Sus scrofa: one gene and its partner. The protein of the gene in region 1 purifies or fractionates together with the protein of each later gene. This does not show direct contact. Links are inferred from orthologs where the notes say so. Each region holds a gene or a part of one and is shown on either strand. Other genes may lie near its edges. The genes, in order: HNRNPR and SNRNP70.

The links.
Region 2: the proteins of HNRNPR (region 1) and SNRNP70 purify together in Homo sapiens (affinity purification with mass spectrometry; 3 studies listed by BioGRID and IntAct, with this or other methods). This does not show direct contact. The link is inferred for Sus scrofa from reciprocal best matches to the Homo sapiens genes HNRNPR and SNRNP70.

What each region holds. Positions count from the first base shown.
Region 1 is NC_010448.4:81,236,470-81,240,955, reverse strand, and holds the start of HNRNPR (heterogeneous nuclear ribonucleoprotein R), read left to right. Parts: upstream 1-1,539; 5' UTR 1,540-1,693; intron 1,694-1,809; exon of another isoform or gene 1,810-2,234; intron 2,235-4,486. UniProt on the Homo sapiens protein: Component of ribonucleosomes, which are complexes of at least 20 other different heterogeneous nuclear ribonucleoproteins (hnRNP). hnRNP play an important role in processing of precursor mRNA in the nucleus.
Region 2 is NC_010448.4:54,294,647-54,298,447, forward strand, and holds part of SNRNP70 (U1 small nuclear ribonucleoprotein 70 kDa), read left to right. Parts: intron 1-1,095; coding exon 1,096-1,160; intron 1,161-1,302; coding exon 1,303-1,365; intron 1,366-2,068; coding exon 2,069-2,150; intron 2,151-3,801. UniProt on the Homo sapiens protein: Component of the spliceosomal U1 snRNP, which is essential for recognition of the pre-mRNA 5' splice-site and the subsequent assembly of the spliceosome. SNRNP70 binds to the loop I region of U1-snRNA.

The DNA of each region.
Region 1 (4,486 bases):
TAGGAACCATGAGATTGCGGGTTCAATCTCTGGCCTCACTCAGTGGGTTAAGGATCTGGCGTTACCATGAGCTGTGGTGTAGGCTGCAGACGTGGCTCAGATATGGCGTTGCTGTGGCTGTGGTGTAGGCCGACGGCTACAACTCTGATTGGACCCCTAGCATGGGAAGCTCCATATGCCGCGGGAAGTGGCCCTAGAAAAGGCAAAAAAGACAAAAAATAAACAAACCCTAAGAGGTCCATAGCTTATACCAGACTGTTGAATGGCACAAAACAGATTAAGAACCCTTGAGTTAGAGGGAGATTTATCTGAAGCTAATAAAGTTTAAGCTTCAAAGTCCCTTTACCATGCTCTTCCAAGACACTTCTAAATTTGTACTCATCATTTAAGATATTTTTAAGGATCCCATCATTTGTATAAGTCTCACACCCCTCAACACAAAAGTTGGATCCACCGTGATGTTTAGCTCAGTACTGGGCACATAGGTTTTGAGTAAATAATTTTTGGTTGATAGCTTCTGGAAAATCTAATGGTCCTCGAAGTGTATATGGAAGTCTTGCGGAACACTGCTTGACTTCCTCCACTCCGGCGCGGAGGGGAAGGGTGGGGTGTTGGAAGTTGAGGTAGGGAAGGAAGGGATGTGGGATTAGAGGTTTGGATTAAGGCGAGGACGAGGAACAAACCAGTAGGTGTGGAGGGTGAGAAATGTTTCAGAATAACGGAAATTAGTCTCCTTTGGGAATTAGCTCTTTTCCTGGCACGGCTCTTTGGGGTTCGTGATGTATACGTCTGTCCTGCTTTCTGAATATTAATTAGCGTCAAACCCCGCGAAGAAAGGTCCCTGCTCTGTCATTTGTACTTAACTGCTTCTGAGTAATGCCCACTTTAGCGATTTCTCCCACATTCTGATCTGCTCCCAAGGATGTGTGGAAGGCAGCCGAGGAAGCCGTTTTCTGAGCGTTCCAAGGGATGATTTTCTACACGAAAAGATTCTCGGAAAAAAACGGGCGAGCCAAATCCTTAGATCGTGCTCTAATTAAAGTCCCAAAGACGACCTAGAGGAAGGCCGGACCGCGTGGCGGTGGGCGTGTCTGGGGCGAACGCCCGCGGCGGCCGCGGCGGCGGCACGCGGGGGAATCACCAGCGCTGCGGCAGCGGCGAAGCGGCGGGAAGGCCGCGGCCCGCCAGGGCCGGCGCGGACGGCAGGGGGCGGGATTCCGGAGGCGGCCACGCGGCGCGAGGCCTACTTTTTCGGCTTCGCGTCTGCAGCAGACGAGGAGGGCGGGGCCTCGGCCACCCTGGGCCCGGTGCCCCGCAGCCTCGCCTCCACCCGGGGCTTCACGATAGACCCCTTTGTGTTCCTACCCCCGCCCCGGAGGCGCCCCAGCCGGCGGCGCTGAGTTCCCTCATTGGCTCAGCCTACGGCTTCATCGATTGGCTCCCGAGCGTCCGGAGTAGTGAGCCTCTTCTCACTACTATTGGTCCTCTGAGCTGTCCCTTAGGCTGCCGCGCGAGGTGATTGCCCGGCCGCTCCGAGTCCCTGGAAGCAGTTCCGGGAAACCCCGCGTGCTGCCGGGATCGCGTCTCGGTCCATGAGGGGGGGAGGGGGTGGCGCGCGCGCCATTTCTAGTCGTTTTCAAAGCGCCTCGCGCTGATTCTCACGGGCCCGGCCGCCGGCCCCAGATCTGTCCTGGTGAGTCTCGCGCCGGCCCGCGGGGGGAGGGGCCGGGAGCCCCGATCCGACCCTAGTGGGCCTGGCCGGGGCTCCGCACCGCGTCCCGTTTGGTTTTCTCCGAGGCCCCGGGGTGGGGGTGGGGATGGGCTGGGGGCGGCTTTGGCCTCTCCCGCCGCACCGCTGAGGGCCTAGCCCCGCTGAGGCGCCTCCTCACCCTCGCTCATCCTCCCCCCGCCCCTCCAACCCCTAGCCCTCGGTCCGGCCCACCGGGCGCCCTTCGCGCGGCCTGCCGGGTCGGTCGCGCTTTTCCCGCCTCCGCCTGTCGCTCCTCGCGGCCGGGTTGGGCCGGGCCGGACCAGCGGCCTGAGGCGTCCACGGCACCATCGCCTTTCCCCGTCGGAGCCTCCAAGCTCCTGTCTCAGTCGGCCTAGCTATGAGTGGGATGTGTTGATGCTTGGGACAGGCATGAGTGGGGGTGGGTGGGCAGAGGGCGGGATGCAAACCCCGAGTGACCTGAGCCGGGAGAAAACTTTTGTGCGAAGCAGAGGCCGAAAGGCGGGTATGTGTAGAAAGCCTCCTTCCCCTCCCCCATTCTGCATGCTGCGAGTCGAGATTTGAAGGAAAAAATGACTATTAGAGGCCATGAAACTTAGGCTTCGAGCGGCGTCTGAGATACATAATTCCAGGAATGTCACAGGCGCACTAAATTGGAAAGGCGATTCTTTTTTTTCTATGGTAGAAGCCGTATTGCCAGAATTTAAAACTTGAAGCCCTGGGGTTCTTGAAGGGTTCAGTCCTTTTACGCTACCTGTTTGAGATTTTTGCTGTCCTCTGGAGGCTGAATTTATGTCTCATGAGTCAGTCGTAGGATAAGGGCTTGACACTCCTAAGCCGAGTTAACCGTTAGTTTTCATTTCGTTGGTTCTTTAAAAGCCAGTCTCTTAAATGTGAAGAGTTTTCACGAGATGTTCAGAAAAAGTCAGGGAGAGGCTAGTGTCAGACTTCCCCAATGTCCCAGCAGCCCTTATTTAAATTTCTACTTTTTGCAAAACAGTGTAGATCAAATGACTTTAGTCACATTAGTATATTTGCTGCATCCAGAAATATGGTTTGGCTGTGTGGCATTGTATTGACACAAAACAAGAGTTTTAAATGGTCTCATAATGACATAAAAATCTTTTTAAAAATGAGCACATTGTATTTGGCTTGGAGAGAGGTTTTCCTTGACATGAAAGGTTTTATTTTCTGGACTCTAATAGCTGTACTTTTTTTTTTTTTTTTTTTTTTTTTTTTTAAGGTTACAGACTTTTTGAAATTTTCAACCAGTTTCAGAATCACCTTGTAGAGAGCCTTTGCAGTGAATGGTAGACATAAATATTTGTCTTGCGATTAATACACAACTTGTCTTTTTGCTTTACACATACTTAAAAGAAAAAATACCACCTTAACAGATGTTTATTGAACTTTTCTGTTAAAAATTTGCTTTCTTTCCGTGACTAATAGAATTCTCAGATGCAATACTGCAAGGGTTTGTGTTACCGAGAACTTTTGAGTTCTGATGATCTTATGCTCGTATGGGGGGGGAACAACTGTATGTTCATAAAGAGATTTTGGACTTTAGGATGCATCTTTGTAGAAGTAGGTTGTATTAATCAGTAAACGATTTATCTTACACTGTAAGTAGCTTCTTGATCAAAAGTGTGCCAGTTTTGAATGTTTTTGCCAGTCCATCAGAATTTGGGGCTTGTCTTGAGAGACATTTATCTACCCAGAATTTAACCGTGGAGTCTGCATCTGTATAGACATTATTGGGTTACTAAGTCTTAATGATGTTTTGTAATCATAATAAGTCATGATATTTATCTCATTTTCAGAGGGACCCTTTCTGCATTTTCCTCTCTTCCTACTCAGTCTCTTCTTCCCTTTTTCATTAACTTCAACTAAATATCAGTGGACTTTGAAATGAAGTTGTTTTAATTAAGAAGAATGCACTTGGTGTGCATTTGCATAGTGTTTTGATAAGCAGTCTGGAAGTGTGGTTACCTTATGTATGAGTTTTACTGCTTTTCAGGAAACTTGTATTTTCTTTATAGCTGGTATTTTGAGTTTCATCAAGTAGGCTTTTCCTTTGAGATCCACCTTCATGTCCTTAATTTCAGTATTTGTTGCAGTGTCTTTATTCTGCTTATTCATCACATTATAATTTCACCACGGACAAATGCACTTTAATTCCCTTTTGAGGAGGCAGTATAGAGACTGGCCTTGTTTTGGTTTTATTATTTAATCTCTCTGTCAGGGTGTTGGTCCATTTCAGCATTACATACAGGTTGAACACCCAGAATGATTTGGGTAGGTTAATCTGAGACATCTGACCTAAGTTTATTCTCATTAGGTAATGTTTGTTGAAACTATGTGGAAGACATTAGTTGTCTGTTCTCAAATACGTTTTTCAGTTTTATTTTACTGATACAAAAAATTCAGTATATACTCATGACTTTTTTTTTTTAAAGAAGCAGCCTTAACTCTAGCTCACTTTTTATTTTATGTGGACTTAAAACAATCATTTAGCTTTTAAACCTGGTCATTTTTTCTTTTAAATCTGTGAATGGGAGTAGCAAACTAATTTTAGAACAAAAATTAATGTCAAGTTGTGTTTTTTGTTTTAAGTGAGGTGGAGAAAACCCAAACCACCAGCAGGTTGAACTAGAGACAACAGGGCATTTATTTCACACCTATCTTGGATTTGAAGCAGAGCTAGGAAAACTTGAAAGTCCTTGAACATTGATTAAGTGGTCTGTGGGTGTTCATTCT
Region 2 (3,801 bases), about 27 Mb from region 1:
CATTTCGAACTTCATTTACCTTTGCAGCTAGACCCTCTCATGGGAAACAGATCTGTGACTTTTAATGCAGTGGCTTCTTAGAGAACGCACACTCTTCCCGGGAGGCCAAGGCATGGGGTTCCTTGGGGGGCTAGGCTGTGAGGGCTGAAAGCCAGCCTTGGCTTCTGTGCTGCTCTGACGCTTGCCCCTCTCCCATGCCTCAGGGGTTGGTGTTACTTCCTTTTGCAAAACGGTGGTAAGTAACTCTGTGTCGAGCAGGACTGGCCCACCGTGTGTTCTGGAGATGATCGCACGCCTCCTTGCCTCCCGTTCTCCTCGGAGGTGGCAGGTTCTTCTGCGGGCGGCACTGTGTTGTAGAAGAACCGTCTCTGCTACGCAGTGGGCAGGGTGCCTTGGGGCTCTGGTGGGAATCAAGGGCCATCGTGTGTACTGGGCCACCATGCTTGGCAAAGAGGACTTCTTCACAGGCCTGAGCCATCGGAGTCTGCTGTGGGAATTGCTTTTGAGATAGATCCTGGCTTCTGTCTGTGGCGGTGGAGTTCTTCAGTGGCCTGGTGGTAGTAAGGCTGGGCCTGAGAATCTGGTCAGCCGCTTCTGAACTCCAGCACCAGCCCTGAGTTCCTCCCTGATGCCCCGTGGCCTCGGGAGGAAGAAAGCAGGGCTCGGACTCCAGTAGGCTCCCCCTCTTGGGCTTGGGGTGGCTTCAGCTCCGGTTTCCCTGCGGGCTGTAGTTGCAGGCCCTGCCAGGGAGTGGCGTGGCGGCCCTGCGGGTGAGGGGGGACGCTCTGTACCGAGAAGGATCGGGCTGTTTCTCTGGAGATGCCCCTTTGGGCTTAGGTACACCTGGAAGGGACCTGGGCCTCAGGTCTGAAAGAGGCTGGCCCCAGCCTGTCAGCTTGAAGTCAGTCTTCTCCCCGCCCTCCAGCCGAAGTCGGCCACTCGGATAAAAGCTGTTGTGCTTTAGGGACACGGCTCAGAGAGGGACATGCCAAGGTCGCCAGGGGACCATGAATTCTGGCCCTCTGCCCGTATCTGTCTTGCTCTGTGAGTCCATCAGCACTTCCTCCTTACAGATTTCTTGCTTTTCCCGCACAGGGGACCCGCACAATGATCCCAATGCTCAGGGCGATGCCTTCAAGACTCTCTTTGTGGCCAGAGTGGTGAGTCCCCAGCTCCCGAACCCTGAGCCCCAGAAGAGCCTGGCACCCTGGGCTGCTGGGGGCTTGGCTGTGGACAGGAGGCTCTGTCTCAGGAATGTTCTGAGGGCTGCTCCCGGTTAACTTCACCCCTGTCTCCTCGTAGAACTATGACACAACAGAGTCCAAGCTCCGCAGAGAGTTTGAGGTGTATGGACCCATCAAGAGGGTGAGTGGCCTGGGGCGGCGGATTTTGAGTGGCAGGTGTGTTGGGGGAGGGAGAAGCCTGGCTTGCCGCCCCGAGGACACCGCAGGTCATTTCTGGGGTTCGGAGTCAGCAGCCTGGGTCCGGCCTACCCTGCGTGCGTGACTTGGGATATAGGCAGTGACGACTTGGTGCCGATTCAGAGCAGAGGTGGGCAGGCTCCAGACTTGGTGTTTGCAAGTCCAGTTTCCTTGCTGCTGAGCTGGGCGCGCTCGTTTCCGCGCGTTCGCGGCTGCTGTTGCTGCGAGGGAGGGGCGAGCAGGCGCGGCACAGACTGGCCCTCGGAGCTGGGAGTCACTCCTGTCAGGCCCTTGAAGGAAGACGATGCCGACTCTTGTTGGAGACCAAGGCTTTGTGTTTAACTGACATGCTTTCATTTAATTTAAAAGTCACTTCAGTGCTCTGGCCTTGAGGTCACGCTGCACGGGAAGTGCTGCACCCAGGGCCCTTAGCGCATCTGTCCCTCTGGGTGGGTTTTTTGTTTTTTTGTTTTCCCTTAAAACCGCTGTGTCCATGACCGGGAGCTCCGGTCACTCTGGGTCCTTGAAGGGACAGAGGGGGCATCTGAGCATCTGTTGCTGGCACCACCCGACCCAGGGCCTAGCCCCCGGGCCATGCGAGTGGTGGGAGTGCTTGCCTGTGTCAACTCACCTGCTCCCCCCCACAGATACACATGGTCTACAGCAAGCGGTCAGGGAAGCCCCGGGGCTACGCCTTCATCGAGTACGAACACGAGCGAGACATGCACTGTGAGTACCTCCGCCTGCGCCCTCCCTCTGGCCCGCTCTCTTCTCTGCTGCCCCGGCCCCTCCCCGCCGTCTGGCCCACCCCCACCCCGCCAAACCTGACCTCAGCCGTGTCTCTTCTCCTCCTCCCTCTGTTTCTGATATATCTTCTTTTTTTTATATACGTGTTTTTTTAAAAAACCAAAAACCAAAATCCCCCACAACGTGTGTGTGTGTGTGTGTGAACCCGGGGAGGTAAGTGTCACACGTTGAACCTCAGGGGCAAGCAGGGAACGGGTGGGGGCTGGGGCCAGCTGGAGGCAGGGGGAGGGGTCGGATTTTCGGGGATCCTCTCCCCATCCCCCCCCCACAGAGCTGGGGCGGCCAGGTTGGAATGAGGACTGGCCTTTGAACCTGCCCTCTCTTCCCCCCAGCTGGGCTGGGGCTGGACCACCCGACCCTCCGCCTCCCTGCCCCGGCCCCGGCCCTGTTCCTCAGCGGGCAGTGGGCTGGTGGGCGTGCTTGGCGCCTGCCCCCCCTTCTCCAGAGCCCCCTTTGAGGCTGCGGCGGCGTCCACATGGGCAGGGCTGGGTGGGTGGGGGCGGGCAGGGCTGCGGCGTGTCCAGGGGCCGCCGTATTAATTGACTGTTCTTATTGTCACTGCAGCCACCACGCAGCTGGCTTGCAGCTGATGCTTACGCTCCCCTTACAACACCTCAGTGTATGGTTGGTATAAGGGTTTGTATCATGGGTAAGCTCACTCAGCACCGCACACCAGCCCAGCTTAGCCAGGCAGCTCAGGAGCAGCGAGGCGCCCCTCCCTCCCCCCAGCTGCCCCTCAGCCGCCCCGCACCCCAAGCCCTTTCCTCGTTGGGGTGCCCTTTGTCACTTCTGTCCCCATCCAGACGCTCTCTGGTAGTCTTGCCGGTCCCAGGAGGGGAAAGATGAACTCTGACGGGAGAGGCAGTGGCCTCTCCACGTGGGCTCCGTCACCCCAGTCCCCCTGAGGCATCTGGCTTCACAGCGTCCACGGCGAGGCGGCGGGAACACCGAAGAGGGGCTGCGCTAGGGCCCGGGCTCCTGGTGGAACCCGGCCGGCCTTCGCTCCCTCCCCCTGCCCTCTGCGGGCCACCAATGTGGTGGCCCCAGAGCGTCTTTTTGGCTGCTGGGTTCAGGGTGCTCTGCCCCCTTCCAGTCTCCCTTGTCATGGCCGAGGCTTCCTCCTGAGGGGCCGTGGGGCCGTGGGGCCGTGGAGCCCAGCCGCTCTCCAGAGTGCATGGAACTGGGGCCGGGGGTGCGGGAGGGCCCAGGCACCAGGCCACGAACCACTGAAGGTATTGGAACACAGCTAAGGCCCCTCCACCGTCGAGAGACCTGAGAGAGGGAGAGCGAGAGAAGCCTAGATACACACAGCACGTGTTTTCTTTACTGTTACTCCCGGGTTGGGCCTCGTCTGGGGTTTGGGACTCCGAACCAAGAGCAGGGCTCCTTTGCTTGACTGGGTTCCCAGTCCCTAAACGCCTTCCCCTGCTCCCCTCCTCTGGGCGCAGGGGCCGCGCGGCCCCTCCTCGGATCGCGGACAGCGCTCCGTCTCCTGGACCCCCAGGGCTGTCTGCTGCAGGCCAGCCTTTGGGCTGAAGCAGGTGGTGGGAGGGAGTGCGGAGCTCGAGGCGGA